Linked DNA regions of Callithrix jacchus. The protein of the gene in region 2 binds, or shares a complex with, the protein of the main gene of each other region. Links are inferred from orthologs where the notes say so. Each region holds a gene or a part of one and is shown on either strand. Other genes may lie near its edges. The genes, in order: STAC3, CACNA1S, STAC2, CACNG1, CACNB2, CACNB1 and CACNB3.

What was found.
Region 1: CACNA1S (region 2) and STAC3 share a complex: the UniProt entries of both Homo sapiens proteins name them as parts of the calcium channel complex. The link is inferred for Callithrix jacchus from reciprocal best matches to the Homo sapiens genes CACNA1S and STAC3.
Region 3: the proteins of CACNA1S (region 2) and STAC2 are in contact, whole or in part, in a crystal structure (PDB 6B27), measured with the Homo sapiens proteins. The link is inferred for Callithrix jacchus from reciprocal best matches to the Homo sapiens genes CACNA1S and STAC2. Residues at the interface, in NP_000060.2 of Homo sapiens: Glu749, Pro750, Glu751, Ile752, Pro753, Ser755, Pro756, Arg757, Pro758; in NP_945344.1 of Homo sapiens: Tyr301, Lys302, Phe303, Gln306, Glu307, Asp310, Asn326, Asp328, Trp329, Phe340, Pro342, Asn344, Phe345.
Region 4: CACNA1S (region 2) and CACNG1 share a complex: the UniProt entries of both Homo sapiens proteins name them as parts of the calcium channel complex. The link is inferred for Callithrix jacchus from reciprocal best matches to the Homo sapiens genes CACNA1S and CACNG1.
Region 5: CACNA1S (region 2) and CACNB2 share a complex: the UniProt entries of both Homo sapiens proteins name them as parts of the calcium channel complex. The link is inferred for Callithrix jacchus from reciprocal best matches to the Homo sapiens genes CACNA1S and CACNB2.
Region 6: CACNA1S (region 2) and CACNB1 share a complex: the UniProt entries of both Homo sapiens proteins name them as parts of the calcium channel complex. The link is inferred for Callithrix jacchus from reciprocal best matches to the Homo sapiens genes CACNA1S and CACNB1.
Region 7: CACNA1S (region 2) and CACNB3 share a complex: the UniProt entries of both Homo sapiens proteins name them as parts of the calcium channel complex. The link is inferred for Callithrix jacchus from reciprocal best matches to the Homo sapiens genes CACNA1S and CACNB3.

What each region holds. Positions count from the first base shown.
Region 1 is NC_133510.1:62,453,266-62,457,401, reverse strand, and holds the start of STAC3 (SH3 and cysteine-rich domain-containing protein 3), read right to left. Parts: upstream 2,801-4,136; 5' UTR 2,608-2,800; intron 1,221-2,607; 5' UTR 1,220-1,220; coding exon 1,154-1,219; intron 914-1,153; coding exon 646-913; intron 409-645; coding exon 311-408; intron 108-310; coding exon 35-107; intron 1-34. UniProt on the Homo sapiens protein: Required for normal excitation-contraction coupling in skeletal muscle and for normal muscle contraction in response to membrane depolarization. Required for normal Ca(2+) release from the sarcplasmic reticulum, which ultimately leads to muscle contraction.
Region 2 is NC_133520.1:28,132,421-28,136,658, forward strand, and holds the start of CACNA1S (voltage-dependent L-type calcium channel subunit alpha-1S), read right to left. Parts: upstream 2,801-4,238; 5' UTR 2,715-2,800; coding exon 2,563-2,714; intron 668-2,562; coding exon 562-667; intron 1-561. UniProt on the Homo sapiens protein: Pore-forming, alpha-1S subunit of the voltage-gated calcium channel that gives rise to L-type calcium currents in skeletal muscle.
Region 3 is NC_133506.1:119,710,515-119,714,729, reverse strand, and holds the start of STAC2 (SH3 and cysteine-rich domain-containing protein 2), read left to right. Parts: upstream 1-1,415; 5' UTR 1,416-1,700; coding exon 1,701-1,790; intron 1,791-4,215. UniProt on the Homo sapiens protein: Plays a redundant role in promoting the expression of calcium channel CACNA1S at the cell membrane, and thereby contributes to increased channel activity. Slows down the inactivation rate of the calcium channel CACNA1C.
Region 4 is NC_133506.1:122,263,121-122,267,293, forward strand, and holds the start of CACNG1 (voltage-dependent calcium channel gamma-1 subunit), read right to left. Parts: upstream 2,801-4,173; 5' UTR 2,696-2,800; coding exon 2,467-2,695; intron 1-2,466. UniProt on the Homo sapiens protein: Regulatory subunit of the voltage-gated calcium channel that gives rise to L-type calcium currents in skeletal muscle. Regulates channel inactivation kinetics.
Region 5 is NC_133508.1:18,969,322-18,973,486, reverse strand, and holds the start of CACNB2 (voltage-dependent L-type calcium channel subunit beta-2), read right to left. Parts: upstream 2,801-4,165; 5' UTR 2,484-2,800; coding exon 2,364-2,483; exon of another isoform or gene 2,012-2,363; coding exon of another isoform or gene 1,976-2,011; intron 1-1,975. UniProt on the Homo sapiens protein: Beta subunit of voltage-dependent calcium channels which contributes to the function of the calcium channel by increasing peak calcium current. Plays a role in shifting voltage dependencies of activation and inactivation of the channel.
Region 6 is NC_133506.1:119,668,767-119,672,266, forward strand, and holds part of CACNB1 (voltage-dependent L-type calcium channel subunit beta-1), read right to left. Parts: intron 3,164-3,500; coding exon 3,068-3,163; intron 2,618-3,067; coding exon 2,432-2,617; coding exon of another isoform or gene 2,327-2,431; exon of another isoform or gene 2,219-2,326; intron 738-2,218; coding exon 273-737; 3' UTR 1-272. UniProt on the Homo sapiens protein: Regulatory subunit of L-type calcium channels. Regulates the activity of L-type calcium channels that contain CACNA1A as pore-forming subunit.
Region 7 is NC_133510.1:70,749,473-70,753,495, forward strand, and holds the start of CACNB3 (voltage-dependent L-type calcium channel subunit beta-3), read right to left. Parts: upstream 2,801-4,023; 5' UTR 2,616-2,800; coding exon of another isoform or gene 2,612-2,615; coding exon 2,571-2,611; intron 1,710-2,570; coding exon 1,592-1,709; intron 1,468-1,591; exon of another isoform or gene 1,324-1,467; intron 1,024-1,323; exon of another isoform or gene 893-1,023; intron 1-892. UniProt on the Homo sapiens protein: Regulatory subunit of the voltage-gated calcium channel that gives rise to L-type calcium currents. Increases CACNA1B peak calcium current and shifts the voltage dependencies of channel activation and inactivation.

The DNA.
Region 1 (4,136 bases), on a different chromosome or scaffold from region 2:
GCCCATTCCCTCATGTTCCATAAAGGGCACTTACAGAGATCTTTGACACAAGCATACTGCTGATTGCTGTAGAGTGGGGAACTATAGGCCCGACGGAAACCAGGTGGCTGTAGGGTGGAATAGGAGGAATCATTAGAGGTAGCAAGGTAGGCTAGAAGCCCATCTCTCTCATAAGTGGTCATCCTTTCTCAGAAAAAGAGATGGGCTAAGAAAGAAAAAGAGAAATGAATGGGATGGAGGAGGGACCAGCAAGGGGTAGCTGGTGATACGGCCCCACCTTTCTACACCTTGTTCCCCGGAGCCTACTCACGATCTTGCCAAAGCATCTCTGCATTTCCACATAGGACTGACAGTGTTCATGGATGTTGGTTTTGCAGTTCTTACAGCGAAGCCCAAACTTGTTATTGACTTGGGAGAGGGGGAGAAAATTCAGATAAGGTTCCAGGTTGCCCTTTCCCTTTGTACCACTGCTGCTACACTTAGGTTCCCTTTTCTGTCTAGGACCCTACTCTCACAATCTCTAATAGCACTGCCTTACAGCAACTCTAGCCGCAGCCCGTCTGCTACAAATACTCCTCTCCTATACCCTCTCCCCCAACCCCTGCCTTCAACATCATACTCTCTTCACTTCCCTTCATGACTCACGAACAATCATCCGGGCACAGACATCACAGAACTTTGGCTTCTTGAAGAAGTGATCTTTGAATTTGTGGGGCTTATCGTTGACAAGCTTAGGAGGTTCTGGGGGTGGCTCCTCCTCCTCCTCTTCTTCCTCCTCCTCTTCCTCATAGATGTAGTAGATGGGCCCACCCCCAGCTCCCACTGCCTCCCCATTGGCCTGGGGCTCTGGGGGAAGTTCCATGTCTTTTGTCCCTGTAGACCCCTTCCTGAGTAATTGCTTCAGCCGCTGTAGCTGAGGGAGGGAGTGAAGGAAACCCAGTGTTAAAAGGACTTGTCACCCTCTCTAGAGTACAGGGGCACTAGAGCAAACTAGACAGTTTTCTAGTTAGGGGTAAGGAATGTACCCTAGGATTAGGGGGGCTGCAGGTGGCCAGCAAAAAATGAGTCATACACAAATGTGATCAATTTAAGCACTCTTCAGCTATAATGGCTTCCCGCTCCCCACACCCAGTGGTCAGAGGCCCAGACTCACCCCACTTTGCCGAGTCTCTGCGGGGAAGGAGGGTTTAGGGGACTCCAGCACCTCCTTTTCTGTCATCCTGCAAGAGGTTGGACCCCACTATGAAATCTAATCCCTTTCATTCTTCTCTCTCTTATTTCTGTCCCTTGCAGTAGGGTGGTCCTCAAAGGGGAGGCTTTTGGAGAAATGTGGTTTCATATATATATATATATATATATTTTTTTTTTTTTTTTTTTTGCAATGAGGTCTCACTCTGTCACCCAGGTTGGAGTGCAGTGGTGTGATCACGGCTCACTGCAGTCTTGATCTCCCAGGCTGAAGCGATCCCCCTACCTCAGCTTCCTGAGTAGCTGGGACTACAAAGTGTATACTACCTGGCTACTTTTTTATTTTTTGTAGAAGCAGGGCCTTGCTTTGTTGCCTAGGCTGGTCCTGAACTAGCTCAAGCAGTTCTTCCATTTCAGCCTCCCAAAGGGTTGAGATTCCAGGCATGAGGCACTGCTCCAGGCCAAATACAAATCCTTTGGCAGTGTTTATTAACAGATAGATTTCATGGAGGTCTAGAAAAAAGCCCAACATGGCTGGGCGTGGTGGCTCACACCTGTAATCCCAGCACTTTGGGAGGCTGAGATGGGTGGATCACTAGGGGTCAGGAGTTTGAGACCAGCCTGGCCAACATGGTGAAACCCCATCTCTACTAAATATTAAAAAATGAGCCGAGTATGGTGGCAGACACCTGTAATCCCAGCTACTTGAGAGGTTGAGGAAGGAGAATTGCTTGAACCTGGGAGGCGAAGGTTGCAGTGAGCCAGGATTGCGCCACTGCACTCCAGCGTGGTTCTAGAGCAAGACTCTGTCTCAAAAAAAAAAAAAAAAAAAAAGAAAAACAAAAAAGCCCAACAAACGGAAGTCCCCAGTTAGTTCCTCAAACTGATACTTATCCTTCCATCCTGAGGGGTGACCCCAGAGTTTACAGCCCTTACACAGTGTTCACTGCTGAATGATTTACGTTATTTTCTTATAGGTACTTTGTTTCTCCTGGGAACCTGTGGGCAACAGGTATGTGATGCATACCTTCCCAGATCTCCTCTCTTCAAGAGGTTTAATGGGTGTCCTTGTGTGTGCACAAGGAAGGATGGACTGGAGATTTGTCCTCCCCTACTTCTTTCTTGAGCCCTGGGGGCACTGTGCCTAGTGCTGTCCCAGCCTGCTTCAGGGCTCAGCTATTTTAAGTTTTCAGGGTAATATGAGCCTTTCCTTCCCTTACTACTCCATTCCCTTCACCCCACCCCCACCCTTACCCCACCCTCCAATCCTAACTCATCCTAGAGTAGAATAATAATTTGACTCCTAAAACCCAGATGATTCACAACAAGGAGAGAAATGAAGAAGTTAAATAGATTACTGGCCAGGGCAGCTGGGGTGAGCAGCTGTGGAAATGGAAAGAGGATGAAGAGGTAACTTACGTTTGGGATTCCCTAAATCAGTCAGTCCACAGAATGTAGAGGAAGTTGGGAACCCCGAGGCCTTGATGGTGGTGCTGGGGAAAAACCAGTCCTCTTCCTTGGGGGCTAAGCCCCCCCAGTACCCTCTGTGTTCACACCAGCTACCCAGACGCTATTTGTAGACCTCCTAGCCTCTTGCGTTGGTGTCAGGGCTGAAATGACAGGGCTGGAGGAAAGTAGACAGCTGAGCAACACAGCTGACACAGAGAAATTGGACACTGAGAGGTCTGGGGCAGGGTTGGACCCTAACTCCTCCCATCCCCCAGAGCTGCTGTTCCTTGATTCTTTATCTTTGGCCAACAGGTTAATAACAGCTGAAATCAAGAAGGGACAGTTTCTGTTCATGCTCACTTAAGGGGAGTTTATTTTTATATTTCATTTATTTTTTGAGACAGGGTTAAAAAAAAAAAAAGACTAATGTGAACTCTCAGAGCTCTCCTATCAGCCACACTAGATTGCTTTTTTTTTTTTTTTTAAAGATGGAGTCTCACTCTTGTCGCCCAGGGGAGTGCAGTGAAGTGATCTGGCAGGTTCACTACAAACTTCACCTCCTGGGTTCAAGTGATTCTCCTGCCTCAGCCTTCCAAGTACCTGAGATTACAGGTGCCCACCACCATGCCTGGCTAATTCTTGTATTTTTAGTAGAGACAGGGTTTTACCATGTTGGCCAGGCTGGTCTTGAACCCCTGACCTCAGGTGATCCACCCGCCTCAGCATCCCAAAGTGCTGGGATTACAGGTGTGAGCCACCAAGCCCAGCTAGATTGCTTTTTTCTAAAAAAAATATATTTTATTGCATTTCAGGTTTTGGGGTACATGTGAAAAACATGCAAGATTGTTGCATAGGTACATACATGGCAATATGCTTTGCTGCCTTCCTCCCCAACACATATATCTGATGTTTCTCCCCATGTTATCCCTTCCCAACTCTCCACTGTCCCTCCCCTAGTTCCCCCCGACAGACCCCAGTGTCTGATGCTCCCCTCCCTGTGTCCATGTGTTCTCATTGTTCAACACCCACCTATGAGTGAGAACGTGCAGTGTTTGATTTTCTGTTCTTGTGTCAGTTTGCTGAGAAAGATGGTTTCCAGGTTCACCCATGTCCCTACAAAGGACACAAACTCATCGTTTATGGCTGCATAGTATTCCATGGTGTATATGTGCCACATTTTCCCTGTCCAGTCTACCATCGATGGGCATTTGGGTTGGTTCCAAGTCTTTGCTATTGTAAACAGTGCTGCCATGAACATTCGTGTGCATGTGTCCTTATAGTAGAATGATTTATAATCCTTTGGATATATACCCAGTAATGGGATTGCTGGGTCAAATGGAATTTCTATTTCCAGGTCCTTGAGGAATCACTACACTGTCTTCCAAAATGGTAGAACTAATTTACACTCCCACCAACAGTGTGAAAGTGTCCCTATTTCTCCACATCCTCTCCAGCATCTGTTGTCTCCAGATTTTTTAATGATCGCCATTCTAACTGGC
Region 2 (4,238 bases):
TTGAAAGTTCCTTCCAGCCCTGGCATTTTACGGTTCCAGGCATGCGTTGCTGATGAAGGGGTAAAGAGTAAGTGGTATTACAAAACTCTAAAACATGTTTCGCTTTAGATTCCTGGATAAAACTCTCCCATGAAGGCAAATTCAATGGATGCAAGTTTCTTCTGAATTACATCTGGACAAGGGAAATTAGCATTCAACCTCTGTGGCTCACTAGCTGACCTTACAAAGCCTCAGTTTCTACATCTGCCAAATGGAGCCACTTTATGAGGTGGGTGTGAGGATTGAATGAGTTTGCTCTCATAAGGTGTTAGCACAGTGACTGGGACCAGTTAGTGCGTGCTCAGTGCTGGCTGGCAATATCTCAGAATCAGGAATAAGCAGATTGATCCTTGAAATCTGTTGAGCCACTCAGCCAGCCCTGCAGGAGGCTGGGGACTCGGGCCTGCTTCCTCAGGGAGGTCAACCACCAGCACCATCAACCGGAACAGAGTCCACCAAGGGGGCCTCCCCGAGCCTGGGACTGCAGGCCCGCAGGAAGCGGGATGGAAGCGCCAGTCTTACCAGGCCGAGGTTCAGAGAGTTGTTGTCATCTTCGGGCATGGGCAGGTACACGGCCAGGGCCACACAGTTGGCAAAGATGGTGAGCAAGATGATCGTCTCGAAGGGCCTGGAGCCAGGGTTAAGGAGAGCTCTTGAGTGAGGCACGGGACTTACAGGGTTAAGGGGAAGAGGGAGCTGAGGGCCTGGACTGTGACTGATACCAGGCTGGTGGACAGGCTCTTTCTTGGACACTCGTCCACACTGCTCCTTCCCTCAGCTCCTGGCAGGGTACAGCGAGGACCAGGTTCCCGCCTGGACATCTGGCTCCCTTTCCTCAGGAGCAAGTCACTTCCACGTAGATGCTTTGGAATGGCAAAGGTCTGGTACCTGGCTGAGGGCTCCTCAGCTTGAAGGCCTAGGGGGTCTTCACACCGCTCCACTCTCAGTGCCTGCCCACGCCCTTCTGCTCCCAAGGAGCTATGACTTTCTCAGATTCTGGCCAATCTGCAGGGGCTCACCCAGAGAAATGGCACGGGAGGGTAAGGGTTGATGTAGGGTAAGGTTGAGAACTCACCCAGCAGGACTGGGAACGAAGGATGGGGAGGTGAAAGCTGAATTTCCGGAGCCACGTGCCCCTGCTGGTGTGCACGTGCTCAAACCCGTCACACCTCACCCCTCCCAGACACACCTACCCTGCCACGGCCATTTCCAGAGGGCACCCCAGGGCTTTCTTAACTTTCTGACCCATCAGATGACAAGTGTGAAAAGAACTAGATGAAGCAAGGGAGGAAGCAAAGGGGTTGTCAGGGCGCGAATGGGGAGGCATATTATGTAGATGAGCTTGACAGAAACACCCCATTCTCTTCCCAGTAACCTCCAATGTTTGAGAAAAGAGGAGGGCCACAGGGGGCTATGAGAGGGCAAGGCTCAGAGGAGCAGAGGGTGGAGGAGAGGGAGAAGCCACAGGGTAAACCCGATTGCAGAAGAGAGGCAGGGAAGGAGCACCCAGGGTTTGATGCGGGCAATCCACCGACCTGGCTGAGAGCAGGTGAGGGGAGCGGGGCTGACCCTAACCCCAAACTATCTCCACTTGCCCCATGTTTCCCTTGTCCTTCCGGTTATCCCTCATTCTCTCTCCTTCTAGGAACAGCTGGTGGGCACCCAGACTTCCAGAGCTCCTCGGAAATATTTCAGATATGCCCGACCCTTGCTCTCAGATCCCACTGGAAACAGGCCTCTCCCTCTCTCGGCCACTCCTTCCTCCCTTCCCCAAATAACCCAGATATTTTCATCATTTCTCCTCCCAGAGCAGAGGAAAACACAGCATGGGATTCAAAGTCCCTGTCCCCAGGGTGGCCTGTCTGAGCTAGAACAGCCATGCTTGCTTGGCCTGCATCTGGAGCCACTCCGGGCGGGCGTCTTGCAGGCCCTTCTCCCCTTGGCTCTGTCCTCAGCTGGGACGCGCCCCCAGAGGAAGCCTTCCTTCCACTCACCTCTCTACTGTCACCTCCCTCCCAACCCAATCAAGGGAGTTATCTCAAAGAGGTCATCGTGTCTTTTTTGGGTCCCTATGCTATTCCAAAATGAGGCTGGTGCTTCAAAAACCTAGTGGCACCTCATGGTAATGTGGATTTGGGCACACCTGAGAACAGTCCCCATGAAACAGGCCCCACCCATAGGTGGTCAGTAGGTGTCTCTGGTTGTCACACAGGACTTGGGAGGCCCACTAAGGCCCAGGAAGACCCACCAAATGCTCCCACCAAGTCCTCCTCTTTCTTCTCCTCTTCCTCCTCATCCTCTTCCTCCTTTTCTTCCTCCTCCTTTTCCTCCTCCTCCTTCTCCTCTTCCTCCTCCTCTCCTGCTAAGCCGAGGACTCCTTCCCAGGCTTCCATTCTGTGGGTTCACCCCATATCTAAGTTCTGGGTCTCCCTGGCCTTGCTGTAGAAAGTTTGTGCTCTGTGACTACCCCACATCCTTCCCCCATGACACACACTCCCCCGCCGCCCAGACCCTGAAGGATACTTCCACTCCACGATGTCGATGCAGGCCTTCCTCAGGGGGTTCTGCAGGGTTAGGCAGAACAAGGCCCGGGGTGGCCTTGGCAGAATCTCAGGAGCTGGCTTCTTGGGCTGTTTCTTTCTCAGGCCTTCATCCTGGGGTGAGGACGGCTCCATGGCTCCCCGGTAACCTGGCTTTCTCCTGCTCCCCCACCCCAGTGCCTTCTCTTCCCTGCGTCCCCAATGCCCCCGCCTTGGGGACTGGGCTGGCTGAGGCTGTCGGCTGAGCCTGCCCTGCTGAGCCAGCGGGGGGTGGGGGGCGGGGGCAGGAATGGGGGTAGAAGGATTACTCTCCTTGCTCCCAGCATGTAAAATTAGCTTCCACTCGGCTCCCTGGCTCCCTGCTGCTGGGCCTGAGCTCCGGAGGCCAGGCAGCTGTCATTCCATCCAGCCCAGTCAGTGACTTCCCAATCTGTCCCCTGAGGAGGGCGGGGGTGGGGGGTGGGGAGAAGAATCTACACACAGGCCTGGGAGGGGGGCGGGGCAGTGGGAGAGGGAGACAGGATGGAAGGTTTCAAGCCTGGGGCCACAGAGGTAAGGAAGGGGTAGACTTCACTATGGAACCTCCAACTGCAGAGTGACCCCCTCATGCCAAAATTAGGTTTCTCCCTCCTCAGCCCCATGACATTGTCTGGAGAAGGCGCTGGGCAGCCTAAGTCAGGACAGCTCCACAGCACAGCCTCCGCCCCCCACACACCCATCTCAGTATCTGCACCGTCAGCCAAGACTCCCCAAGCAATCCCATGTCAGGGAACCAGTAAACGCCTCCCCAGTGGGCTGGAAGGCTCCCAGGACAGCCCGGAGTGTGCACACCTCTGACATAGCACCTGCCTCACTGTGGAGCATCTGCTGTGTGTCTTTCTTCCCCACTTCCTCCCACCCCTACAGGTGTAAAGCTTGTGTACTTCAACTCTGGGACTCTGGCCCCTCCTCTGGAGAGTCCCCACATATACTGCCCTCCCTGTGTTCACTGAGGCCAGGCATGGTGCCTCACCCTTGTAATCTCAACACTTTGGGAGGCCAAGTTGGGCAGATAGCTTGAGCTCAGAAGTTCGAGACCACCCAGGGCAACGTGATGAAACTCTGTCTCTACAAAAATTACAGAAATTAGCAGGGTGCAGTGGTGTGTGTTTGTAGTCCCAGCTACTAGGGAGGCCAAGGTGGGATGATCAGTTGAGCTGAGGAGGTTGAGGCTCCAGTGAGCCAAGATTGGGCCACTGCACTCCGGCGTGGGTGACAGAGTGAGACAAAAAGTTTATTGAGGCCAGGTGAGGTGGCTCATGTCTGTAATTCCAGCACTTTGGGAAGCAAAGGTGGGCAGACCACTTGAGGTCAGGAGTATGAGACCAGCATGGCCACCATGGTGAAACCTGGACTCTCTAAAAATACAAAATTTAGTGGGCATGGTGGTGTGTGCCTATAATCCCAGCTACCCTGGAGGGTGAGGCCGGAGAATCGCTTGAACCCAGGAGGTGAAGGTTGCAGTGAGGAAGGATCACACCACTGCACTCCAGCCTGGGAGACAGCAAAACCTGAGGCAAAAAAAAAAAAAAAGTTCATTGAATCTTTGAGCTAACAGCGTACCCCACATACCCTCCCAGCAAGTACTCTGGACTGGTTTCGGGAGTGAGAAAGGGGCAC
Region 3 (4,215 bases), on a different chromosome or scaffold from region 2:
CCAGCCTGGGCAACATAAACTCCATCTCTACAAAAAATTTAAAAATTAGCCGGGTGAAGTGGCATGTGCCTGTGGTCCCAGTTGTTTGGGAGAGTTGAGCCCAGGAGGTCCAGGCTGAAGTGAGCTGTGATCAGGCCACTGCACTACAGCCTGGGCAATAGAGCAAGACCCTGTCAAAAAAAAAAAAAAAAAGGAAAAAGAGAAGGAGGAGGAGAAGAAGAAATATCTTGACTGGGCACAGTGGCTCACGCTTGTAATCCCAACAAGCTGGGAGGCCAAAGTGGGAGGATCGCTTGAGCCCACGAGTTGGAGATCATCCTGTGTAACATAGCAAGACTCCATCTCTACCAAAAAATTTTAAAAATTAGCCAGGCATGGTGGTGTATGACTGTGGTCCCAGCAATTAGAGAGGCTGAGGTAGGAGGATCGCTTGAGCCCAGGAGCCTGAGACTGCAGTGAGTTATGATCACACCACTCCAGCCTGGGTGAAAGAGTGAGACCCTGTTTCTAAATAAAAAGTAAAAAATAAATAGAAGGTTATTGTCAGACCAGGTGGAGGGAGGGGCACCTTGGAGGGTGAGGACCTCTTCCCCCACCTCTCGGTATTATCCCCTGATCTAACTCCAGCTGTGGTAGGATCTTCAGGAGGGGAGCGTGTTGTAGTGAAGTTTGGGGACTTTGGGTGTGAGGACTGAGGCCCCATCTCTGCTGAAGTTCAGACACCAAGCCCGGAAAGGGGTAGAATCATCCTGCTTTCCATCACAAGGAGGAATTGTCTGGCCTGACTTTGACGCATACACCATAGTCCAGGTGTGTGTATATTTGGAGAGAGTCTTTTCAGGGCATAGAGGCATCCAATTTTTTTAATGGCACAGATGGGTCCCCATTCTTCCTTCACCAACCTCTGACATCTTTCGATCTTCGCTCTCCAGGAAGTCCTAACTTCGATCTCACTCTCAGCTATCTTGCTGCAGCCCCAACCTATTTCTGTTCACTGCAACCCATCCAGACGCTACTATGATCTCCCCAAGCTTCCCTCAATCTGGTCACGCCCCCCGCATCCCGGGTTTTTCAGTGTGAAACTCCCTCCTTCGCTTCTTTCACCGCCAAGCCCCGCCCCATCGTGTCGAGCCCCCCAAGATTCAGCCTAGCTCGCCCTCCTGGCCACAGCGGCAGCCAATAGCTGAGAGCCCGATTTGCATGGCGGCGAGGGGGAGCGGCGGAGGGCAGGGGGCGGGACCAGGCGACCTCCTAAATCAAAGTTGGGCAGCGAGGACTGGGCGGAGGGGCCACCGGGTGCCGGGCTGGGGCCGGCGGGGGAGGGGAGGGAATGGGGGGCGGGCGCAGAGGACGGCGGAACCGGCCGGACACGGACAGCTCCGTGGCTCCCTCCCTCGGCTCATCCCCGCGGTCCCACTTTCCTCCTCCCTGCGCTCCGAGCAGCATCCTCTGCAGACCCTCGGTCCTCTCGCCCGGGGTGGTCCCGCTCCCGCGGCTCGGCGTGGTCGCCTCCCCTCGCCCGCCACCCCGGCAACTTTCTCCGCCCGCGCCCGCGGGTGGGGGGCTGCCGTGCCGGAGGCCAACTGGGGGCAGCCTCTGGAGAAGGGCTTCAGAGTCCCGGAGACGCCCGCCACCCGCAGCCTGCCCGCGGCCGGCCTGCCGTCGGGTCTCCGCACCTTCTCCGACCCTCCTCCCGAACCATGACCGAGATGAGCGAGAAGGAGAACGAACCGGATGACGCGGCCACCCACAGCCCCCCAGGGACCGTCTCCGCCCTCCAGGAAACCAAGGTAACTTGGGGGGCGCGAGGCCTGTCCCCGCCCCGTGTGTCCCTGGCCCAGGCGCCCTCTTCCCGGCGGGGTCCTCCTGTGGGCCCGGTCGTCCTGGGGTCGCGGTCGCGGGGCCCGCGTGACCACTGAGGCTCCGCGCCACGCTCGGGGGGAGGAGTGGATTGGCGACGAGGGGCCACGAGGAGCCCCAGATCACACCAGCACCGCACGGCCGCGCGCGCCATCGCTACCCTCCGGGGAGGCGGCAACCGGGCTTCGTTGGAGGGATGGGCGCAGGGAGGCCGGAGGGCGCGTGTGGAGCGGCGCGGGCGGGGTGCGTGCCCGGCTGTGCGAGCGAGGCGCACCCTCCCACGGCCGCCGGGTCCCCGTGCCGGGCTCAGTCTGCCCCTCTGCCCTCGCTCGTGTCTCTGAATGTGTCTCTACAACCTGCGTGTCTGTGTCTTGGCGTCTCTCTGTGTGCGTCTCTCCGCGTCTCTCCCCGCGTCTCTGGGTGTTTATCTCCGCGTCTCTGGGTGTCTCTCCCTGCCCCTCCGCAGTCCTGCATTCCCCGCTCCCAGCGGGGTTGGGCTCGGGGACGCGAGGCCGCGGCCGGGGGTGCGCAGCTGCGGAGTCCGCGCGGGGGCCTGCGGCAGCGCGGGCCGTCGGTAGCGGGCGGGGACCCGGGCCTGCGGTTGTGGCTCCAGACCAGAAAGGCAGCCCCACCCCCTACCCCGGGAGCGGGACCAAGCGGTGGGGCGCCGGGGGAGCGGGTAGAAGCGAAAAGAGAAGTCATCGTAATTAATGAATGTCATCATTAACCCTAATTATGGATGATTGTTACTCCTGCGGGAGTCACCATGAATAAATTACTCCCCGCGAAGGCGGGCGGAGCCCAGACTCCTGGCCCTGAACGGGGTGTGGAGAGACCGCCGCTCACACTCAGCACCCCCCTCTTCTAATCCGTCTGCTCCGTTCCCAAGTTCTAGGTTCTGGCGACTGGCCCGCGAGAAGTTTTGTTCTGCGGGAGCAACCTGAGCGGGCCGGGGGATGGGGCGGAAAGGGCTGTGCCAAGGGTGCGCCCTGCCCCCTCCCAGACTTCAGGCCAAGACCTCCTCCCTCTCTCTTCCCCTGGTATTTTGTTCCCATCCTGTTCCTGTTTTCCAGTGGCGAAGGGGGACAGTGAGGACCAGAAATGGTGGGCCTGGGTTCCGGAGGAATCGCTGGCTCCCTAGGCTTCTTCCTACTGTTCCCCTTCCTCCTCCTTCCATCTTGACCACCCCATAGGAGTTGAGGTTAATTCAAGGTCAAGGTCATCAAGGGAGTGACCCTGAGGAGGATCGTGTTTACCCTGTTCCTACGGAGGAGGAGGACATAGGATCAGGGTGGAGTCTGGCAGAGGTACCCCAGGGATATTCTATTGCTTAGAATATTTGTGACAACTTCTGTCAAGCAGACGGTCTGGGAGCTGAACCTCCCCTAAGCTCCAATGCCGCTGACCCCGGTTGCCCTCTAGTCACCCTGGGTAGACATACACAGTCCCCCTGCTTGCCTCCAGGGGCTTGGGGCCTCCCAGGCTCTGCCCGGCTTTCCATACAAAGGCCTGTTCACTCCAGCCCCCTCCCTGGGAGCTCTGGAAGGCGGGCAGGAGCGCGGGGTGGTGCTGCCTCAGCACTCCAGCAGGCTGCCTGCTCAGCTGTGTGTTGGGGAAGGTGAGGGCCTGCAGGTCTGTGCCTCTCCCTCCTCCCAGCCCAGGGACCCTCCAGTGTTGTCACCTCTGGGTCTGAGCTTGGAGATTCAAGGGGTGGGGAGGGCAGAGATTACATACATGAGCCAGCATCACTGATGAGCACTGGCCCCCTCTGTTGTACCTGCCTCACACTGAGCTGGGTGGGCAGCACCCAACCACACTCTCTTCCATCTCCCCACCCACACAGTCTGGAGACAGGAGCTTCTTTGAGCCAGGGTGAGGCCTAGCCCTCTGTGCTAGGTCAGCTGAAGCCCTGGCCCTCCGGCCCTCTCCTACACTTCACTCTTTTGAAGGACTCTGCACTAACACAGACTAGGCTGTGGGTTGGGTTGGGGGTATTCAGCAGGGCAGAGGTGGCAGAGAGAGAATCCAGGACCCCTGCTAGCCTCCTTCCATCCCACACTTCACCCTGGCTCAAAGAATCTCCTGTCTCCAGACTGTGTAGGTGGGGGAGATGGAAGAGAGTGTGTTTGGGTGCTGCCCACCCAGCTCAGTGTGAGGCAGGTACAACAGAGGGGGCCAGTGCACATCAGGTAGTGACGCCAACATTCCAGGCTTATTTATCAGTGTTGGTGCCCCCTGGGAATCACTGGCTGCCTCCTGCTTGCCCCCAGGCAGGATCAGCCCTGCATCTGAGCCACTCAGCAACCCTCCTAGGGAGTCCTCCTCCTCTCTTGGTCTCCATCCCTTCTTACCACA
Region 4 (4,173 bases), on a different chromosome or scaffold from region 2:
GTTGTTAATTGAGAAGCCACATATGAACTCACTTCCTCCCTCTAGAGAAGAGTGGTCCCAGGGAACACAAGAAGGGCAGATAGGGAAAGAGAAAGATGTCCATTTGCACAGAAAAGAGAGGGAAAAAGGCAGGAACATACTTTGGAAGATTACTGGGGGAAAGGTAGTGCTCCGTGTCACAAGCGTGGGAGGTATGGTTCATGGCTGGTTAGGCTAAGAAGTCAAAGAGGTAGATCCTGGTCAGGCTCAAGCTCAAGCAATGCCTGTTGGCTCCAGTGACTAGCATTGGTTCCAGTGACTAGCATTGGTTCCAGTGACTGCGATTGGTCCAGTCACCTCTCACCAGCATGCTGCCCCCCTGTGATTGGTCCAGTCATCTCTCACCAGCCTGTTGGCCCCCTATGATTGGTCCACTCACCTCTAACTAGCCTGTTGGTCCCTTGTGATTGGTCCAATCGCCTCTTGCCAGCCTGTTGCCCCCTGTGATTGGTCCACTAACGTCTCCCCAGCCTGTCACCCCCTGTGATTGGTCCAGTCACCTCTCACCAGCCTGTCTCTTCCTTGTGTGGACTCTGTTCACTGCCCAGCCCTCTTCTCTGACTTTAAAAGTCAGATGGTTCCAGAGATGGGTGAACAGGACTGTAACAGCACGTCCCCATGTGTGGTCCCTGTAGAAGCTACCTCGCCCTGCCCTGCCCTGCCCCACCCAGGGGAGTAGGCTGGAGGCTGTGCCTGTTTATGGGTGTGCTTCGCAGTGGTCAAGGGACATGGGCATCCCAGCTATGCAATACCCTGCCAGCACATGCTCACACCTGTCACCCTCAAGCACTGGGACTTGGTGTTTCTACAACAGCTGGGTACTTACGAGTCTTCTGGGCACCCAGTTGGGGTAAGCAAGGGAGGGGATCTCTGGAGCAAGCAGGAGGGAAGGAAGAGGGAGCAGAGACATGGGAGGATGGGGTCTGGGCTCTCTGACCCACAAACAGACTGCAAGATCTTTGGGGACTCAGCCTTAGTGTCCTTGAAGGACAGGTTTCAAGGAACATCCAGTCTGATAAAAGACGGAATAATCCTGAAAGCCAGGTGGGACATCACACTGACATCACCCTGCTCCACTGCCACCATGGATGGGTGTCCCTCAGCCTGGGAAGGGATCTTATGTTGTTGAGAGTCAGTCCCATATTTTATAGAGGAAGAAGCTGAGGCTGAGTTGAGCTTTGTCCTCCCTGGAGAGTCATTTGGAGCGTGGTAGGCAATGGTGATGATTCCTGGCCGCCTGGTCTCCATGTAGCCCTCTTTCCTCTAAAGAAGTGCTGTATTTGCTAAGAATCCAGAGGCCTCTGCATTTGCAGAATAGAGGTTAGCCACACAAATACCAGGTACTCCTGAAAAAGAGCTTACCTTCGACATGTGGTTTGGTCACATGGTAGGAAATTGAGGAATATGCTTAAATGACAGGATGAGGAAAATGCTTTGACATGGTCTTTTAAAATGCTGATAGGGTCTGAGCTAAGAGAGGAGGCACAGAGGACTGAAGTCCTGACAAAAGTGGGGGTGGAGGCTGGGCACGGCGGCTCATGCCTAATCCCAGCACTGTGGGAGGCCGAGGTGGGCGGATTGCTTGCAGTCAGGAGTTCAAGACCAGCCTGGCCAACATGGCAAAACCCCGTCTCTACTAAAAATACAAAAGTTAGATGGGTATGGTGGCGCATGCCTGCAATCCCAGCTACTGGGGAAGCTGAGGCAGGAGACTAGCTTGATCCCAGGAGGCAGAAGTTGCAGTGAGCCGAGATTGCACCATCGTACTCCAGCACAGGGAACAGAGTGCAACTCTGTCTCAAGAAAAGGTAGGGGGCAGGCGGCTCACCCACAGCCATGTCCTGCTTCATAGACATTCAACCTGTGCAGCTGCCCTAGGCCCAGGGCCCTCAAGGGTCCATGCTTGGTTTCATGCCTCGCTGTCACTGCCTTGAAATCCTCGGTAATTTGGAGCAGGGAACCCTGCACTTTCATTCAGCACAGGACCCTGCAAATTCACCTGTCCAGTCTACTCTCCTGCCTTAAGTCCAGGAACGAACCTGCCAGCCTGATAGGTTCCACGAGTCTGAGCACACAGAGCCACTCAGCCTGTCTTGGCAGGGAGGGAGTGATCAGGTGGGGCCCAGAAGCCCCCGGGCTGGTAGAGCCACAGTCCCTTTCTTGAGCCTGCTCAGATGTCTGCTCTGGACAAAAAGCCCCAAGGTCCAGCCAGACAGAAATAGCTGGGACAAACGCCCTCGTCTTACAACCCAGCTCCGGCCACCAGCACAGCACATGCGAGTCGGATCTTCTTCCCTGGGCAGAAAGGGCTGGGCGGCTGCCCTGTTCTAGGCAGAGAAACCTGCCTTGCTTCGTGTGGGTAACTTTGTTGGGGAAAGATGGGAAAGGGCAGGAAGTGGGGATTGGGAGGGATGCTGGGTACATTACCCCCGGGCAGGGTGATGGGCCCGCACATCTTGCTGTCGTCCATGGGGATGCGCTTGGTACAGATCCGCCAGAGGCCGAAGTGGGCCGCCTCGCAGGTGGTGTTGTGGTGCTCCAGGTGGGGGCTCAGCACAGCCCAGTGGTCGGTTACCACGGCTGTTGTGGCCAGCACGATGCCCGCCAGGATGCAGAAGAGGGTCACACGGACCTTCAGCGTTTTGGTCTGGGACATGGTGGTCGCCGAGGCGTGGGTGCCCTGGGCAGGGTCCGGCGGCTGTGTCTCCTAGGGCAGGTGACAGCCGAGCTGGGGGGTGGCAGTGGCTGTCAAGCTGGGAGTGGCCACTAAGTTTAGTGTGGCCTGGCTGAGCCAGAGTGGGCTGGGCTTGGGGCTGAGGGACGCTGGACATGCTGAGCAGCTGTCCAGACGAATCAGGGGCCTGAGGGAGGCTGCTATTAATGACCGTCTCCAGGCGTGGCACCGAGGACAGCTTCTGCTCAGGTTTCAGGGGTTTCTTCCTTTGGGAGCCAGAAGTACCCTGGTAGGGGGGCAAGGAGAGAAGGCTCTGGGTGGTGGATTGAGGCCTCTGTGGAGTAGCAGCTCAAGGTGTCTGAGTTGGGAGGGGGTGGGCAGCAGGGGCTGGGGGTGGGGACCTGCCTGCTCTGGGCTGCTGGGAAAGGGCATCCCAGGGCAGGGGAGGAGACCAGAGCTGCAGGCTGCCTGGCTCTCCCGGGCTCCCACAGGGCAAGTCTGTCACCAGCAGGGCAGTGAGTAGGTCCTCATCCTGGGATCTGGGGAGACTAGGACTGTTTAGGGACATCCCAGGGAACCCGTCCAGGGCCTCTGGAGTCCACCTCTTGGGGAGTGTTTTAGCCACAAAATCCATGGCCTCCCCCAAACCGTGGGAAGATTATTGGTGTTTCCCAGGCCTGGCCTTTCCCGACTCTGACCCCTTCATGAGAACATCACTTCCTTCTCAATTCTCTTTCCATACCCGGAACTGGGTCCAGAGCAAAGCTGCATTTGGGGTCAGTGTCTGTACTGCCCACAGAGTGTCCTCCGAAACCAAGAGAGAATGGCCTGAAGAGGACAAGGAATCTCGTTGGACTTGGTCGTTCTGTTTTCAGGGTACTGTGTTTGGTTTTGCCTCTATTAACAGCAGGTGATAATGATTTTTATTTAATTTGAACACACTTATTTAATTTGCAAAATAAGGGTGTGAGTAAAAAAGAACAAATAGGTTGATTTACGGGGGATAATTAGGAGGCTCGTGAGTGCTTAGATATGGCAGAGAACACAGAAAGCCTGGAACTGAGCGCCCTCCCAGGGTCCTGTGTGCCTGGCTGCCCTGCAGGGATCCCCAAGGCTCTGGCCCCTACATCCCTCCAGGTTGTGCCAGGTTGTGCCATCTCTTCTTTCTCAGCTTACCGGGTAGCCCTTTTTGGGTCTAGCCGAGAGGCTGATGCATGACCAGGAATAGCTTCCTAAGCTGGGTGGGGCCTTGAGCTTCAAAATCCTGGCCTCAGATTGACACGGTTTACAGAGACTCTCCCCATGTGGACAGAAACGTTCCAGCCTCCAGCCTTGGAATCACAGAAAGTTCACGATGATGATAATAGTAGCAACGGCTCGTCTTCAGCGAGGGCTTCCTGTCGACTAGGCGCTCTGCTAAGCCTTCCTCCAGCATCACAGTTATTCTCCACACCAATCCA
Region 5 (4,165 bases), on a different chromosome or scaffold from region 2:
GAACTTCTCTTTTCTATTTTCTTTTCTTCTTTTTCTTGTTTTGAGATGGAATATTGCTCTGGCTGGAGTTCAGCGGTACCATCTCAGCTCACTGCAACCTCTGCCTCCCAGGTTCAAACGATTCTCCTGCCTCAGTCTCCTGAGTAGCTGGGATTACAGGTGTGCACCACCATGCCTGGCTAATTTCTGTGTTTTTAATAGAGACAGGTTTTCACCATGTTGGTCAGGCTGGTCTCGATCTCCTAACCTCATGATCTGCCTGCCTCAGCCTCCCAAAGTTCTGGGATTACAGTCAGAACTTCTCTTACAGCCCCTAAACATTTATGCTAATTGATGTTACTGGAATATAAGTTCTCTGAAGGCAGACATTGTGTCTCTTCCCATCAGAATCATTTCCACATTGCTGCTGTACAATAATTTGTTGACTTACATTAAATCATTATACATAAATCATAAAGTAATTTAGATTATCTTAGCTGAATGCAGTTATGTGAGCCCTGACTTTGATCTCCAGGAATTTAGGAACTCTATTTTTATCACAAGAATAAAATCTTTTCTAAAATATCCCTCAAGGAAGATCAAAGGCAAATGAGGGTCTAAATGTCCTTTCCTTTGTTGGAGGACTCAAATACTGATCGCATTCAAGACCTTCATCCTAGAATAACGGAGGTCTCTGGGTACATTTTTTTCATTCTATCTAACCTGGCAAGCGTCTAGATAAAAATCAGGAGTCCAGAACAAATGCAAACTCTGTTGGTTAAAATTCAGATCCTCTGGCAGAGGCCAGATGGGAATGTAGCTGGTTCATTACATGTCCCCACTTGGCTTGCGAAGCCAACAGCCCAGGGCAGACTAAAATCTAGCTGTTTCACCACGACAAAATTAATCGATTTCTGATTACACAAGTCCTTGGTTTCCACATTCTTCTCCATCTCAAATCAAAGTGGATTATGTGTTTTAAGTTAGCACAATTATTTCCCAATGGTAAAAGAAAGTTCAGTAAAGCTAGACTATTAATGCCACTTGGAACGGCCATGATTACAATATCAAAATAGCTACAGCAGTCAATTTCCACCTATCAAAACAACAGCAAGAAAACATTTGCCCCCTTATCAGGTTGTCACGCTCCTGTCCCCATTTGCTACAGTATATGATACTCAAACATGCCCTCTTCGGTGTGTATGTGTATATGTAAGTGTATCTATGTATTAACATGTAACTGCACACACACACACATACATATCTTATCACAAGTTAAAATCGGGCAAATGTAGCCTTGAAATCAACCAGCCAATACCGCTAAACAAAGAGACATTTCTCCAAAATGCTGCCTGAAATATAACCAAGACCCCTTCCCACCACTGGCCAGCCAGCCAACAGTCAGCCGGCAGTTAGGAGTCTGAAGCCATTTCCCTGATAGGAGAAAAGTTGAGCGACTCCTCACCGCTGGGACATGGAGGTGTCTGTAATACAAACTGTACCTGCCCAAGCCTTAGGTAAAAGCCACCTTGTCACTGCCCAGCGCCTACAACTGACATCTCCAATTTCACAACAACCTGCAGCAGCGAAGCTGACTTTTTCCAGAAACCGCGAATACTCGTTGGAGAGAAAGGGGATCCTGGAGCTCCCTGAAATGGCTAACATTTCAGGGGAGACGGAAAAATAAAAACTTTCCCGTCCCCATATTGCTCTCTTATTAAGGGAAAGGCACGAGGTGGGCCAAGCAAACCTTGGCAAGTGCCCGAGGGGACTGGAGAAGCTGTCACGGTAGCGGCGTAAAGCCCCAGGTGCTTAGCGTGGTCCGGCAGCTCGAGGGGGGGATCCGGTAGGGCGCCCCCACATTCGCTCCCATGTCGCCCACCTCCAGCCCGTCACCCCCACACCCACGCCCACCCCGGCTCGGAGCGTGGCCAGGAGGGTCAGCATCGTAGAAAGCGCTGCGGGAAGCGGACCCCTCCCGCCCACCCGGACTCACGATCTTCAGCAGGTCCAGTCCACTCGCCTGGTTCATGTCTCTCCATGTGCCTCTCCCGGGAAGGGGCGAGGAGGGCCGGCGGGGGCAGCCCGGGAGAAGTCTGCGAGGACCAGCAGGTCTCCCCCGCCCTTCCCCACTGGCTTTTCCGAAGCAGAGAAAAATGGAAGCCGAGGTAGAGCCAGGAAAAGGCGCAAAGGGGCAGGGTCCCCGGCGTCAGGAGAAGAGCAGAGGGTGGGCAAGCGGCGAGGGGAGGAGGTGGCGGACGAGACCCAGGCAGCGGGGAGGTGCGAGGCTAGAGATCCCCGGAGCAGAGTCGCCGGGAGAGCCGGAGGTCGGCGCCCTGCCCGGCGGCTCACAAAGGAAGGAGAAGGCGCCGCGCTCTCGCTACCTGTGCGGCGGCTCCGAGCGCCCCCGCGGGAGCCGCGTTCTCCAGCAGTTCCATCTGGATCTCCTGCGCCACCGCCGCCGCCGCTGTGGGAGGCGACTTGGACATGTCGCTTTGGACCATTGGCGAAAAGTCGGCTCCGAGCGAAGCAGCCAGCCCCTGGCGGCGGGTCCCCTCCTCCTCGCCCCCGCCTCTCCGCGCTCCGTTCGGCTCTGGGGGCCGCCCAGGGCTCAGGCCTGACGCTCACGCTCTCAGCGCAGCGCCCCGGGACTCCGTGCCGCGCTGCCAGGCGCTCAGTGCGCGGGACGAGGACTGGGCATCGGGCGAAGCGAGCCGCGCGGGAGCCAGGACGCGGGGTCGCGGGCGCGCGGCTGCGGTACCGGGAAGAGGGACGCCCTCCGCGGGGCAACCGGGACCGGGCGGAGCGGGCGCAGAGCGGCGGGGATCGAGCCGCGGGCGCCAGGGAAGGTCCTCGCCAGGAGGGAGGGAGCTCCGGGAGCGCGAGCCAGTGGGAGGCGCGTCGGAAAGCGAGAGTGACGAGCGGCAGACAAGCCGAAAAGTTCCTCACGAGAGGCGCGCGCCGCGTGGGCTCCGGCTCAGCTGCTGCGCGTCGCCGTGGCACAGGCGCTGAAAAGTTTGCGAAGCCACAAGCAGCCAGGCCCGGCGCCTGGGGGAGCGGGGGGTCGGGGGGGCTCGTTCCTTTTCCCAGGGCCGCACACCTACCTCTCAGGAACCCTAAGAGAAGATTTCTTAACTTCGGAGTGGAGGGATGGCGAAGGCTGGGTTCCTACACTGAAAGTTTTAAATCTGGAAAAGCTGCTGGCAGCCCCAGAGAACAAATGTCTGCAAAGAACATCTCCTGCGCAGCTGAAAAGCATTGCTGATGTTAGTAATAAGGATCCAGAAAAAGAAACGGAGTTAATTCAGTGAAGATCATCAGGTGATTCCACCTGAATCTGCAGCTGGCCTCTCTAACGAGGTCGGAATCCACCCAACCTGAGGCCGAATGTTTTCCTTTTGACTTCTGTTTTCATCTTTGCCAAATTAAGTTAGCATTTCTTCCCGAACAGAATTGAAGTTCGTCATTGTTGTTGTTTTAGACAGAAAGTCTCGCTCTGTCGCCCAGGTTGGAGTGCAATGGCGCTATCTCCGCTCACTGCAACCTCTGCCTCCAGGGTTCAAGCCATTCTCGTGCCTCAGCCTCCCGAATAGCTGGGATTACAAGTTCCCTTCACCACGCCTGGCTAATTTTTGTATTTTTAATAGAGTCGAGGTTTCACCATGCTTCCTGGGCTGGTTTTGAACTCCTGACCTCAAGTAATCCACTGGTCTCAGCCTCCAAAATTTCTGGGATTACAGGCATGCGTCACCGCAGCCGGGCAGGATTGAAGTTTTTTATAGGGATGAGAGATCTTAGCGTCACATTTTTGATAAAACAAGCACTTCCTTAAGATCCGGAACTCTTGATAACAGGGTATTGACTACAGTGAGGGTGTTTCACTTACAACATTCTGTTCGTATAGTCCCAAGGAGGCACATTTTTATGTGATTGAGTGCATCTCATTTCAACAAACTTTACTACCGTGGAAATTTCTATAATGAGTTTTCCAGGCATCTATTGATGTTATTTTGTAACAACAAAATGGAAGTTTGGCATACTGAAATAAACACTCAAAAATTTACTATACATACAAAAAATATACATACAAAAATTTACTTCAACTGCCTTCTATATTTTGCTATGATAAATTATGTGAGATACAGTACTTGTTCTTCTCAAAGAGAAACATAGACATTTTAAATCT
Region 6 (3,500 bases), on a different chromosome or scaffold from region 2:
GCCCCTTAAGATGGGAGAAAGGGGACACTTCAGAAAAGTGGGTATCCCCCATCCATCTGCAACAGGCCGGTAAAAACCGACAGCTGGGGCTTGAGGGCCACCCGGGAGCTGGGATGATAGATAACACCGGAGAAACCCCAAGCTTTGAGCAAAGGCATCTGAAAGGAGGGCGACAGCGCCCCTGGAGGCGGATACATGTCAAGTGTGAGCCCCTCGCTCCCTCCCCTCCCCCGGACTCAGAGCCCTTCCTCCCGCCGCGTGGCCGCTGCTCCTCAGCGAATGTAGACGCCTCGTCCCCAGCCCTCCAGCTCATTCTTGTTGCGCCCTAACACTGGACCCCCACCCTCAGCGCAGTAGCGGGCCTTATTCCGGCCCCGGTTCCGGTTGTCGGTCAGCTCTTCCTCATAGTCTTCTTCCTCGTCCTCCCAGGATCCCTGTCGGGCTGGGGGGGTGCCGCCTCCTGCAGGGTCTCCGAGCCCTGGCCCCTCTGAGGGGTCAGTTTCCATGTCCACACATGAGTCTCCCAGCTCCGTGCAGGCAGAGTTTCGGCTGCCGGGGGTGTCGGCATCAAAAGTGTCTTGGCGGGACAGTGCCCGCAGCGTGCCCGCCCGGCCGGGTGGGTGGCTGCTGGGGTAAAGGCCTGGGGGCTGGCCCAGCTCCCCTGGGTACTCGTGCACGCTGCCGTGCTCCCCGGTGGCCCGTTCCAGCCGCTGGTCCCCGGAAGCAAGGTAGGGTCCCTGGTTAGCAGACGGACATCACACACCATGCAGATCAGGCAGAGGTGAGAAGAACACAACAAAGCAAGGCAGATTAGTGACAGCACGAAGACAGCCGGCCTGGGTGAAGGAGGGTACTGGCTCTAGGGTAGGGGCCCCAGGGACAAATGGCTCTGGAGCCCAGCCAGAGGACAGACCTCAGGCCATTGGCTCCTCTCTCCGGACAGGGGACACCTGACCTTCAACAGATGTGAGGACATAGGAATGCTCAGGGCAAGCATGGCCGACAGCCGTGAGCCATGAGTCACCACTTCCTCAGTGCGAGTCATTAATGCTATCTTGGGGTTAATCATCATTAACAGCTAAGTACAGCCACTCATTAGTGGCTGATTGGGTTAGTCATTGCCTTCAGTTTTCCAAATATATTAACAGGAGATTTCAGCTCAAACCTGCTGACCCTGGCTTCAACTCACGACCCCAATCTCAGGCTTCCAGAACCCCATGCTTCTCCCACCATTCCCTAGTCAGATGACACCGTCTCCAAGGCTGATGGGATTCCTCCCCTGGCCCCAAGAAGGACTCAAAGCAGCAAGCTGGGGAAGGCTGCTGGGTCTTCCCCTCCTACTGAAGATGAAGAGGTAGCCCAGTGTCCTCATCACCAAATGTCATGTGGCAGTGGGGCACAAGAGAGGTTCCAGTCCCTCCCCTGCCACTTCAAGCTGTGTGATCCTGAGCAAACGGTTCCCCTCTCTGTGGCCTCATTTCTTGGTTGTAGTTTGATGGGGCTTAGACCTGAGCAGCAGTTTCCAAACTGTTGCCTGGAGATCTGGGGTGGGGTGGGGAGGGCACAGAAGTGCTTCAGGGGTCCCCATGGAGGTGGAGGGGAGGCCATTCCCCTGGCTTCCTCATAGGGCAGAGCAAGGATGCATTATCTACATCCTCAGCTTCCACATAAGATTCATTGAACTAATGGGCTGTGTTGCTGAAAACGAATTTGAAAGCTTCAGTCTAGAATGATTTCATGGGTTTCTTCTGGCTCTCACCTAGAACCTTATACTTAATGGTGTGGAATCAAGAGACAGGCTGTGGCTTGCTCGGGAGGAGGGCGAGGCAGGCTGGGCTCCCATGGGAGGGCCTTTCCTGGACTCTTTAACTGGGAGAATGGTGGAAGGTTCAGCATCAAGTCATAGAAGATCCCACATTCCGGGTCCCTCTTGAGGGGCCTTGAGGAGTCAGGGTTCCAGGGAGGGAGAGTCCAGGTTTAACAGGGAGAGCCAGCCCTCCTGGCTCCAAGGGCCCCTGCTCTGTTGGGTCTAAATAGGGTGTGGAGTCCAGAAAATGAGTGTACCTATCTCCTCACACATCCTTCCTACTCCCTTGCCTTAAAAGGGCCCCCATCAGGACTCAGATCCAGCGGGCAGCAGATGCGGTCCTATGGTACCAGGCCCAGGAAGCCAGCACCAGAAGCCCCAGACCCATCAAAAACCACAGACACCAGAAGCTGCCGCTCACCACATTTTTTACAAAATAAAGCTCTTCCCTTCCTCCTCCATGTTCCCTGCACTCCAGTTCTGACCTCTGAGCGGGAGGGAAGATGGGCAGGGCACCCACTACATGGCGTGTTCCTGCTCCTGGGGCACCGCGCTGCCCCGCTGCGAGGACTCCAGCCCGCCCCAGAAGCTGAGGTTTCTCCTGAGCGAGGTGAGCACCTGTACCTGGAGGTTGGAGACAGGGGCAGGGCTGGCAGCCAGGGCTGCGGTAGCCATGGTGCGGTTCAGCAGCGGGTTGGGTGGTGTGCTGCTGGGCGGGTGTGTGGCCTTCCAATAGGCTTCCAAGTATTCTGCCAGGTGCTCGCAGGCATCCTCCAACTGGTTCTCGTCCAGGATGATGTCAAACATTTCCTGTGGAGGCGGGGTTAGGGGACGGGGCTGGGATGAGTGGGGCATGGCCAAGGGGGTTGAGGGTGTGGCCTGGGTGCAGTGGGTAGAGTCAAGGGATTGAAGGACAAGGTTAAAAAGAGGCCTCTGGATGTGGAAGAAGGGAAGGAGGGCTCTCAGATGTACAGATTAGCAGAACTGCAAGCCGTTTTGGCACTCTGTCCAACTCCCTCATTCTAGAGATAAGGCAACCAAGGCTGGGAAAGAGGGCTTGACTCTCCACGGAGAAGGGTGCTTCTGGGGCTTGAACCCAGTCCTTGACTGACAGACCTGCACTCCTTCCGGAAGACCAGTCTGCACCTACAGGCCTGACCCAGGTGTTCCTGGTCACTCTGTCTCTCGTACAGGCCAGAGAAAACCAGGACAACCCAAGTACCCTCCCTCCCTTCCCTTCCCCGGGATCTAGGCACTCACGGGGGGGCACTGTGCCAGCTTTTCCGAGGCCGCTATTTGGACGTTGAGGTGTTTGGACTGAGACTTCCCTCGAGACTTGATGAGCCTCTGAAGTACCTGGTTTGCAGAGGGACAAAAGGAAGAGGAGCTAGAGAGACTCAGGCAATGCACCCAGTCAGAGAGGCGGGTCCTGGTTGCATTAGCATGGAGAGCGAGTGTTAGGGCCCTTGAATGCTCCATAACTCTCAGCCCTGGGCACCCCTGCAGAAGTGACCTCAGCAGCCCTGTGTCTACCCTATGCAATGCTCAGGCTCTCTCCTTGTCTCATGCCCACCTTCCTTAGGGGCTATATGAAGGGAAGTGATTCTCCTTCCCAACTTCTCTAACCGTGTTTATAGGCCCGCCCACCCTCCATTTTTTAAATTTGTTTTATTTTTTAATAAGTTTTGCTTAT
Region 7 (4,023 bases), on a different chromosome or scaffold from region 2:
CAGCACCATGCCTGAAGAGGAGTCTGACCTTTTCTGCCTGTGCTCCAGGCTCTCAACCCAATTTAGAAACCTTTATTTTTATTATTTTATTTATTTACTTAGAGACTGGTCTTGCTCTATTGCCCAGGCTGGAGTGCACAATCATGGCTCGCTGCAGCCTTGAACTCCTAGGCTCAAGCGCTCCCCTGTCTCCTGAGTTGCTAAGACTACAGGCATGCACTACCATGCCTACTACTTTTCTGTAGAGACAGGATCTTGCTATGTTGCCTAGGCTGGTCTCAAACTCCTGGGCTTAAGCCATCTTCCTACATCAGCCTCCCAAAGCACTGGGATTACAGGTATGAGCCTCTATGCCTGGTTTAATTTAGTAATCTTTTTTTTTTTTTTTTTTTTAAGATGGAGTCTCAGTGTGATGCCCAGGCTGGAGTGCAATGGTGCAATCTTGACTCACTGCAAACTTTGCCTCCTGGGTTCAAATGATTCTCCTGCCCCAGCCTCCTGAGTAGCTGGGACTACAGGCAGGCGCCACCATGCCTGGCTAATTTTTGTATTTTTAGTAGATATGGGGTTTCTCCATATTGGCCAGGCTGGTCTCAAATTCCTGACTTCAAGTGATCTGCCCGCCTTGGCCACCCAAAGTGCTGGGATTACAGGTGTGAGCCACCGTACCTAGCCTAATTTAGTAATCTTAACACCTGGGGCATCTGGGTTACCTGACCTCTCACCCTGGGATGGGGATCAAAGGATCTGTCCCTAAATATTTAATGAATTGTGCTCAGAATGAAACCCCTTCTCCATTACTTCCAAGTCCTCTGGGCTCATCCATCTCTTGTGCTCTGATATGACTTGGGGAGGCCAGGGCTGCCCTGCCAAGCATGATCTAGGGTCTTACCTTTCCTATACCCTGCTACGCCAAAATAGCCAGATTCTCAGTACTTTGGAGCTGCCAGGAGTTGGCACGGTGCCCTGGTGGTGCCCCCCTTGCCTAGTGAGTGTGTGGGCAGGCTGCAGCTCTTCTCTTGCCTGGCACGGGGGAAGGAGAGGAGGGAGATGAGCCGTTGGATTTATTTAGAGCCTGATCTCCCTCCTACTGCTTCAGAGGGGGCCTCAGGGAGAGCAAGGAGCCAAGCAAGAGAAAGGGAAGTGGGGGAGGGTGATCAGGAGCCAGAGAGAGATGGGAGGGAGCAATGGGTCAGCAGGCTGCCCTCCAGCACCAACCACATGTCAGACTGTTCCTTGCAATAGCTCTTGCCTTCTCATCAGGGATGGGAAGAACCTCCTAGGGCCTTCCAGCCCCATAGAGAGGTTTGTTCTCAAGCTCACCTTGGCACCCTGGGCTATGCCAGCTGTCCCTTCAACTGTCAGAAAGAGGTGTCCACCACAGCCTTAAAAATCATCTGCTCTGGCAGCAATGCAATTAGTCCCAGAGGCCCCGAGGAAAACTGGGCCCCAAAAGAGTCATCTATCCTGGGAGCAAGTGGAGAAGATTTGAACATACTCCCCTTTCCCACCCAGGGGTGCCCCAACCTCCACACCTATCAGGGGCCCTTCCAAGCCATCTAGTGGTTCTCTCCTAAGGAGGCCTTCTTACAGGACATTTGAGGGAAAGTTGGCAGCTCCAAGGGTCTGAGAAGCTGCTCCGCATTCTTGCCCCATCTTTCCAGGCACTCTCCCTGCTCTCTGAGCTCCGGGAATCACTGCTTAATGAGCTGATTTGTCTCAGTGGGTCAGGAGATAAAAGCAAAGAGGAGAATTAAATATTTATCGGTTGCCTGTTTCTCTGAGCAAAGCGCTTCCTCTCCATCCCCAGGCCCTCAGCTCCTCTGGCTTCACCTCCAGGCCCTCCATGCTGGGCAGGAGCTCAGGATGCCTGCTGCTCAGAGCAAGCCTCAGCAGGGGGCTGTGGAATGGATGGGGCTCAGTCACCTGGCCCACCCATGTGCTGGGTGCCCAGGTTTCAGCCTGGGAGAGAAACTGGGCTACAGAAAGGGTGAGGAGATGAGGCAATGTGCAGAGATGGAGTGGGTGGAGGGGAATAATGGAGCTCCTCAAGTTTTAGGATTCCTCTGTCTGAAGAGGCTGGTCCCTGGCTCCCCGATGTCCTCTCAGCTCCCAGATGTGTCCTTTACTTGAGGCACAGGAGGTCCAGAATGTCTGCCTCCCCAACAACCTCGGCGGCTCTCCTAGCTGTTTGTGTTCAGACCCCAGAAATCCAGAATTTGGAACTCCAGACATGGCGTGTTCCCTCTCCAGATCCTCGGTGCCCTCGGCCTCCAGCCCTGCCCCCCTCCGCCCCCGCCCGCCCCTCTTTCTGGACCGTGGAGCCACCTGCTCGAGCCCCTCCCCTACACTGCCCCCTCTCTGCACACACCCGATGCCCCAGGGTCTGGGTCTGGGTCGCTGGGAGCCCTTGGCATGAAAATCCATCTCCCCACGTACCTAGAGCGTCCCCCTACACACCCTGCCCTGCCACTGAGGCGTTTTTCAAAGTCCTTAACTGGGGGAAGGGTTGAAGGGAGAGGAGGTGTCGCCCCAACTTCCCCGCCCCCACCCTCACCCTGGGCACTCACCGCCTCCGAGTCCTCAAACCCGGGCACGTAGGAGTCGTCATACATGGGGGAGTCCGGGTGGGGGGAGCGAGCGGCGCCGGGGGCGGGAGCGGCCCGGAGGTAGGGGCGAGGACTGCGGGCCGCGCCCGGGAGATGCCACCGAGCCCCGCAGCCCTGCGGGCGGCGGCGGACAGCAAGAGAGCGCGAAGGAGGGAGCGAGCCGCGAAGACCAGCTGCTCGGAGCTCAAATCACCGCTCCCCCCACCCCACCGCCCCAAACCCAGCCGGTCCCACCCCGAGCGCGGCTGAGGAATCTGGCGCCGGCTCCTACAACAATAGTGCCCGCCCACCTGACCCCCTCCCTGGGAACAGGCGGGGGCGGCGAGGGGGCGGCGGCCACTAGGGAGCCCGGGCTGGGCCGGGAGAGGGGAGCGGACCCGCGCTGGGTGGAAGGTGGGTCCCCGAGCACCTACGGGGCCTTGGCGACTGGGAGGAAGGGGAGGAGAGGCTGCGGGCGGGGCGGATCCTGGCAGGGAGGAGGCGGGGCGAGGAGAGATGCGGAGACAGAGACTCTCGGCAACCCAGGAACTATTCCGCCGGGAAACAAAGGGCTGCAGCGGGGGAGGGAGGGGGCTCTGAGACCGCGAGGGAGACGCGACCCGGGCGGAGACTGGAGAGGGCGCAGGTGTCGAGGAAGTGGGAGAGAGAGAGGCAGAGGGAAGACGGGGAAGACAGGAAAATGGGAAGACCCTAGGAGACAGAAGAGACGCGGGGACTAGCGGCAGACGGGGGAGGGGTCCAAGGCGACAGCAGTTCGGGTCTGGGCCGGTGCGTCCCGGAGGCTCCGAAAGCAAACCCCACAGTGGTCGTGGGAGGAATGGGCTTGCCGCCCCCAGGCTGATGCCAGGACGGCAGCTTCTGCCCCAACAGGTGCCCAGCCCCCTTAGTACAGGGACGCTGCGGCAAACGCGGTGTTGCCCAACCCTTGAGAAGGGGGGAACTTTCCGTGAGCTGAGTAGGCCTCCCCACACCTGTTGCGCGGGTAGATTTCGTCTTAGTCCCGCCAGGATGGGGGTTCCCTTCCTCACTTCCCTGCCAAGGATTGTGCCAGACAGTGCCAAGGCATCCGTGGGAACTAGGGCAGAAAGGGGCTGTTTTAGGTGAGCCTAAAGGGAGGGGGAAAGAAGCCAGAGGGTGGGTGGGATCCTGGCTACACTGGGGTTGGAAGTGGAAAGGGCCTGTCTCCTTGGAGTTACTGGGGTAAGGCCAGATTCTCCCCTTAGTAGAGGTCTTGTACCACCCTGCACCACTCAGTCTTCTTCATAAGAGCGCTGAGATTTGAGGTAAGAGAGCCACAGCCCTTATCTTGAGGAAACTTCCCCCAAACACCCACCCATTTGAGCTCTCTCCTTTTTTATCTCCTGAGCAAAATTACTTCTTTGATTTTTGACTGCCTGCCTTTGTGCCCCATGAG